Linked DNA regions of Macaca fascicularis. The protein of the gene in region 1 purifies or fractionates together with the protein of each later gene. This does not show direct contact. Links are inferred from orthologs where the notes say so. Each region holds a gene or a part of one and is shown on either strand. Other genes may lie near its edges.

What was found.
Region 2: the proteins of HERC5 (region 1) and CTNNB1 purify together in Homo sapiens (affinity purification with western blotting; 3 studies listed by BioGRID). This does not show direct contact. The link is inferred for Macaca fascicularis from reciprocal best matches to the Homo sapiens genes HERC5 and CTNNB1.

The regions. Positions count from the first base shown.
Region 1 is NC_088379.1:94,040,087-94,043,906, forward strand, and holds part of HERC5 (E3 ISG15--protein ligase HERC5), read left to right. Parts: intron 1-2,668; coding exon 2,669-2,812; intron 2,813-3,783; coding exon 3,784-3,820.
Region 2 is NC_088376.1:104,080,195-104,084,014, reverse strand, and holds part of CTNNB1 (catenin beta-1), read right to left. Parts: intron 3,577-3,820; coding exon 3,418-3,576; intron 1,985-3,417; coding exon 1,865-1,984; intron 1,354-1,864; coding exon 1,203-1,353; intron 1,115-1,202; coding exon 993-1,114; intron 1-992. UniProt on the Homo sapiens protein: Key downstream component of the canonical Wnt signaling pathway.

The DNA.
Region 1 (3,820 bases):
ACTGAGGTACAGAACTATTAGGTAACTTATCCAAGAGTAACCCAACTGATAAGCATCAGAGCCAGGATTTGGGCCCAGCCATTAGGCACTAGACTTTCTGCTTAATCAAGACAGATAAAGATTGACCTGATAATATTAGTAAATGGAGTATTTTTGATTGGGGACCCTACTTTATCACTTCTACTCAGATTAAAGAAAGATTGACTTTACTAAGTCTCAAGATACCGATGTAAAAGCATATTGCACCCGGACACAGTGGCTCATGCCTGTAATCCTAGCACTTGAGGAGACCGAGGTAGGCAGATCACCTGAGGTCAGGAGTTCGAAACAAACCTGACCAGCATGGTGAAACCACATCTCTACTAAAAATACAAAAATTAGTTGGGTGTGGTGGCAGGTGCCTGTAATCCCAGCTACTTGGGAGGCTGAGGCGTGAGAATCACTTGAACCCGGGAGGTGGAGGTTGCAGTGAGCCAAGATTGCATCACTGTACTCCAGCCTGGGCAACAGAGCAAGATTCTGTCTCAAGGAAAAAATATATATATATTGCAGTTTAAAGTTGGCATTTCCATGTATTTTTGCACACAGATAATTGTATAACTCTAATGAACTCGTTATGTGATTCTATCCTTTGCCAGTTAGTCCACTCGATTATTTGAGTTCCACTTTTATATATCGTTCATCCAGTTTTTAAATGCGGGTGCAGCATTTGCCATCTGCAGGCTCTGTGTGAGGTATTTTACATGTATGACCCCTGTAATCTTTCTGATAATCATGTGGGAAAACAGGCTTTATGAGATCAGGCAGCTTGTCCTTAGTAAGAAGAGGGGAAAGGGTTTGACACTTGGTCTTGCTACAGAGATTTTTAATATTTCACCAAGAGGAATGGAAGAGGCATGCATCTAAATAAAGAAACTGGTAAGAGGAGCTTTCTGGAGATGCTAGTAGAACATCTGGGTAGAAATGTTGAACAGGTCTTTGGAAGTGACTGTCAATCAGGAGAGAAAATATACTGAATCTGAAGGTTAAATATCTACGAGTGGTAAACAAAGTTTACAGAGAAAATGAGCCTCCAGGGAAAGAACAGAGAAAGGACAGAAGTGTTAGGATAGAATTGTTTGCAATTCTGGTTCTAGAAGTTAAACTAGCAGGAAAAAGAAGAGAGAAATAAAACCATGAAGAGTGCTTCATAAGCGAAAGCAAGGGAGAAGAGTCTGTCAAGAAAAAGGACATGATCAGAAGTGGAAAATGAGTTAACGAAATCAAGGAGATGAGATATGAGAAAAAGTCCTTGGAGCTTGGCGATTTACAGTTCTTGGTCTTCTTGGAGAGACCCATTTAAGTGGAGAAGTGGGTTTGGAAGTTGGCATATATCTCTGAAGTTTGGCAAGAGTAGAAGGAGCCCATGTTGTCTGTATTGGAGACAATATGTTGGGATTTTTTTTTTCCTTTTAAGGTTAAGGGGGACCTTAACATTTTTGTAAATGGAAGTGAAAGATTCCAAGAAAAGGCAGGAATGGAGGGGTAACTGAAGGAGCAAAGATGGGTTATGATAGCATCCTCTTGGGAGGGATTGGTGTCAGCAGTGGGGGTGCAGCCTCAGGGAGCAGACAGCCACTTCAGCAAACACCTTATGTGTGCTCTGGTTTTTTGAACATCCTGAATTTTTTTTTGTTTATTTGTTTATTTATTTATGAGACAGAGTCTCACTCTGTTGCCCAGGCTAGAGGGCAGTGGTGTGACGTCGGCTCACGGCAACCTTCGTCTCCCGGGTTCAAGTCAGTCTCGTGCTTCAGCCTTCTGAGTAGCTGGGATTACAGGAATACATCACTACACCCAGCTAATTTTTGTATTTTTAGTAGAGACAGGGTTTCACCATGTTGGCCAGACTGGTCACGAACTCCTGACCTCACGTGATCCGCCCATCTTGGCCTCCCAAAGTGCTGGGATTACAGGTGTGAGCCACCACACCCGGCCGATTTTTATGATTTCTTTCTGTTTATTTTTATTATATATACTTGGATCTGATGACTATAATAGTGATGCCGGTTGAGGTCAGTTTAGTGGTAAAAACTTTAGGCTCTGGGGTTTGACCGACATAGGATTAAATTTAGGCTGTAGGCCAGGTGTGGCGGCTCATGGTTGTAATCTCAGCACTTCAGGAGGCCGAGGTGGGTGGATCACTTGAGGTCAGGAGTTTAAGAGCAGCCTGGCCAACACAGTGAAACCCTGTCTCTACTTAAAATACAAAAAAATTAGCCAAGCGTGGTGGTGCATATCTGTAATCCCAGCTACTCTGGGGACTGAGGAAGGAGAATCACTTAAAACCGGGAGGCGGAGGTTGCAGTGAGCCGAGATCAGACCATTGCACTCCAGCCTAGATAACAGAGTGAGACTCCATCTCAAAAAAAAAAAAAAAAAAAAAAAAGGCTGCACCACCTAGCTGTTGTATAAACTTAGAAAAGTTATTTAAATTCTTGAGGCCGCATTATCTTATAGAATTAATGTAGAGCTTAAATATGACAATATATAAGTAGGATACTTACTCAGTGCCTACCAAATACTTGGGTCTACAATTAATGTTAACTATTTACTGTTATTAAATGAGACTTCATGTATAGCAAAATGGAGCCCTGGAAGTGATGTATTATTTGCTGTGTTTCCTCAGGTTTCATTTAGTGGAGAAATTGGGTATGACCTTGTAGGAGTTAAGAGAGAGTTCTTCTACTGTCTGTTTGAAGAGATGATCCAGCCAGAATATGGGATGTTCATGTATCCTGAAGGGGCTTCCTGCATGTGGTTTCCTGTCAGGGTAAGTTCCCTTTTCTTCGCTTACGAAACATAGAAAATTAGTTTGTCTAGACTGTTTCGTGTTAGGTGAGGAGTTGTGGATATAATTGTGGAGATAATCTATAATTCTAATAAGGTGATTATTTTTTTAAAATGGAGTTTCCTTTTCCTGGGTTCCCATATCTGTCCACATAGAACTCAAGCAATGTGTTTTTTTGATCATTTATATAATGCATGTATTAAAAAGGAACCCTTTTTTTTTTAGGTAGTCATTCTTTGTGTCAGTTCTGTTTTCCCAGTGAATTTGAAGACAAAGGCTGTGGAAAGAAATTGTGAAAACTAGTTTATAAGGATTACTGAACCTAATGTATTTTTATTGCTGGTATGCTTTTAGGAACCAAAACTGTGGCAGAGATTTATTTAGTTGTTTGTTTCTTTTGTTTTGCTTTGTTTTTGAGACAATCTCACTCTGTCACCCAGGCTGGAGTACAGTGCCATGATCTTAGCTCACTGCAACCTCCACCTCCCAGGCTCAATCCATTCCCGCCTCAGCCCAGCGGGATTACAGTAACTGGGATTACAGGCTCCCACCACCATACCTGGGTAGTTTTTGTGTTTTTTAGTAGAGACAGGGTTTCACCAATTTGGCCAGGCTGGTCTGAAACTCTTGACCTCAGGTTGTCTGCCCACCTTGACCTCCCAAAGGGCTGGGATTACAAGCATGAGAGTGGCAGGGATTTAAATTGACTCAATGACCAAATATTAGGTTGGTGCAAAAGTAATTGCAGGTTTTGCCTTTACTTTTAATGGCAAAAACTGCAATTACTTTTGCACCAACCTAATATAAGCCCTAAACATTCTTATCTCAGGCTTTAAATTTTTCAATTTGAGATTTGATTTTATGAAAGAGGAACAAAGATTTATTTAATATAAATATTTCATTGTACTGGTAAAAACTCATAATACTTTAAGATTTTTTTTTTTGCTTTTCAGCCTAAATTTGAGAAGAAAAGGTATTTCTTCTTTGGGC
Region 2 (3,820 bases), on another chromosome or scaffold:
ACAGGAGCTGCTGACAGGATGTGTTGTATGAAAGAAAAGTTTTAGCCTGAGCAGCTGGACAGACAAAGCTGACATCAAGACAGAGAAGACAGTCAAAACAGGTTTGTGGAAGGGGGTAGGTGGAGAAAGTTAAGGGCTCAAGTTGGAACATGTTAATAAGATGCCTATTAAAAACCCAAGTAACACACCACTCACTGGTAATTTGCTCTCCTTTATTTATTTATTTTTTTTTGAGTTGGAGTCTGGCTCTGTTGCTGAGTGCAGTCTGTTAACTCCTGGGTTCAAGCAATCCTCCTGTCCCAGCCTCCCCAGTAGCTAGGACTATAGGCATCCATCCCCATGCCCAGCTAATTTTTAAATTTTTTTGTAGAGATGGGGTTTCACTATGTTGCCCAGGCTGATCTTGAACTCCTGGCCTCAAGAGCTGCATCGTTTTAAACCTAATAATCTCTCTTTCCATTCGCTCAACAAATATAATCCACTGTTATGACTGTGTACCATCAGTGATCACTACAGAGTGGATAAAATAAACTTCCAGGGTGGTTCTAGTTTTATTAGAAACAATGTTTCAAAGGACACCTGTACTGAGGACAAATACTGAAGACAAATTCATAGCAGAAAGTCAAATAGAAAAGTTTTATTAAAGTTTAGTAAAAACTACTGACAAACTGTCCTCTAACAGTGTTTAACACTGCCTCTTTCCTTACATCCTTTTGAAAAATCATCTTTAATCTGGTAACATTTTTCATCTTTCTCCCTTATGAATTATAATTTTAAATAGCACAACTTATTTGTAATGATTCTGAACAGGCGCTTTAAAGTTTGTGTTATAGTTCTTCCTTAGGGCAGTTGCTGGACAGCATAAAGAAGAAATACTCAAGCCAGGGAAACATCAATGCAAATGAATGTATACTAAGTGTTTTGAGAGAAGAACAAGCTGCCTTATCCACTCTAGGAAACTACCAGATAAATAACTGCTCACATTTCCCTACCTCATTCCAAGCCATTGGCTCCGTTCTGAAGAGAGAGCTGGTCAGCTCAACTGAAAGCCGTTTCTTGTAATCTTGTGGCTTGTCCTCAGACATTCGGAACAAAACAGCAGCTGCATACGTCGCTAAGAGACAAGGAAAAAAAGGCCCTTGAGGAAAAACTGAGACTTCAATGTACACATCTGCTAAAGGCTTTGGTTCCTTTTTACTTACCCACACCTTCATTCCTAGAGTGAAGTAACTCTGTCAGAGGAGCTGTGGCTCCCTCAGCTTCAATCGCTTCTGCAGCTTCCTTGTCCTGAGCAAGTTCACAGAGGACCCCTGCAGCTACTCTTTGGATGTTTTCAATGGGAGAATAAAGCAGCTAGGGAGAAAACACAAACAAAACCTAATTAAATCTAAAGCTAAAACATGACAAGCCCCCCACTGTGGTGCAAACATTCCGAATTCAGAGTGCAAGAGGCATTCACACTGTAGTAAATAATATTCTCTGAATTTTATGTCCTAGGGTGTTTAATACCCTAGAGCATTGGATTTCCAGAATACTTTTTAGCTATAAACCCTTTCTTCAGAGGCAACTCTAACTGACCTAAGATTTGGAAAATCCAGAATTGGTTGGGGGCCTATGTCCCGCCTCTGGCAGCCCAGGTCAGCTCTCCCCTCTAAAACTAGGCACCCGTAAAAGTGAAATGTGAAATCTCCTCCCTCTTCTCGAGTCTCAATATTTCTCCTACTGACCAAAAAACTGAAGGGAATTTTCATAAAATTAAATATTGGTGCCCCTATTATGGTCCCTAATTTTCTGAAATTTTATTAGTCATTACAATCTGGAAATTTTAGGGACATAAAACCTAGAACACTTAAAAACAACATACCTGCACAAACAATGGAATGGTATTTAGTCCTCTGATTACAATTCGGTTGTGAACATCCCGAGCTAGGATGTGAAGGGCTCCAGTACAACCTTCAACTATTTCTTCCATGCGGACCCCCTCCTGCCAAAAGAAACATGGTTAACAAATAGGGCATTCTCCTCTGTAAAGTTTCTGAACTTGAAAGGCTTTGCATTCTGAGGAATAATTATTAGACTATAATTATTTACATTATATACCCGAAGTTCCCCATAACTTGCAATTCGTTTGGGAATGAAGGAGGATTCCATTAACTTGAATGTCACTGAAAAGAGGCCTCCTGGCAGCACTAATTCAAGGCAGCACCCCTTCCCCATACACAGTGCAACAGAGCTTCCACATAGCACTGAATCCCGAAGACAACTTTCCTACAGTAAGGGCACCAATCATTCTGAGTAAAAGGTATATAAAAAGAGAAGATGAGAAAGTAATGCTCAGACTATGTCAACGTTTTTCCTTTACATGCCCCCTCTATTTTTGTACATCTTCCATGTATTTGGTGAAAACTTTGCCAAGTTTTAGCACCAACTGCTAAAACTAACTGAGTTGCCAGCAGAAAAATCCACTCCTCACTCTTCCAAGACTATTCAGCTGACAGTCTCATGTATAGGAGAAGTTAGCTTTTGCAATATTTAAGTACCATCTGTTTCTCCTGTTTCTGGATTTGAGTTTTAAAAGGGGTTATGATTCTGCTACATTTAGCAGCTTTTATAAATAATTTGATTCTTGCAAGGATACAAAAACTCCTTTTTTCCTAGAAAAGAGATTTAAAATAAAAGATTCCCTCAACATTCTATTAAGTCACCTCATGGAGATGGGCCAATACCAACAGTAATAAATGAAGCAAGCCAAAGCCCCAGTATGAGTACATACACAAAGCAACCAGCAAAATGAGATTCCTAAAATCTGTTCTGGTAGGCTCCATCTTTGTTTTCTAAACTAACCTAATTAAATAAGGTCTTAAAGTCTGAGAAATCAGAAGTATCTTCAGACTATACTTTTAATGAAGCTACTTTTAAGACTCAAACTTTGTATCAAAGCTTCAGGTTGAGACTATTGTGGTTAAGAGTACAGAAATGCTACTACTTATTTTTGAAGTATGTCTATACTATATTCTTAGGTCCATGAAAAAAGTTTAACTCACAGAAAAGATAATAAAATGGACTGCTAAATATTTATTGTCAAAATTTATGATGAGGCAAGGGTAAGAAGCTCTGAAATTACACAGATTTGGTCTCAAATTATGACTCTACCTCTTCCTAAGTGGGCCTTTGTGTAAATTAAATGAGAACACTACATGAAATGCCTAACCCAACCTTTGTAAGACTGACCATGTGAAGGACGTGTCCAAGGAAATATCACTGGGGCCACACTATGCCTTATCTTCTCTGCAGTCATATTTTGTCATCAGCTCTTCAGGAAAAGGGACGGGGAGAACAAATGACCAAAGAAGTTCAGATCTTTGGATCTATGCATTCCTTTTAGACAGCCAGGTATCACTATAAGAATTTACCCACCACAAATTGCTGCTGTGTCCCACCCATGGACGTACGGCGCTGGGTATCCTGATGTGCACGAACAAGCAACTGAACTAGTCGTGGAATGGCACCCTGCTCACGCAAAGGTGCATGATTTGCTGGACAAAGGGCAAGATTTCGAATCAATCCAACAGTAGCCTGAAAAACAGAAGGAAGAATTGGCATACAACTCAACACAATCATTTTCTTAGCCTAAAATTCCCACCACAATAAATCTATTGGGAACAACTAAAAGTAGTTCTGACTACACAAACATTTCAGAATCCTACCCCTATCGCAGCCATACTTCCTACTTACTAACGAATACAATTCCTATTTATTGATCACTATGCTTAGCCATCCAACGGCTAGAGATGCTTCATTTTCAATTCTGCAACAAAGG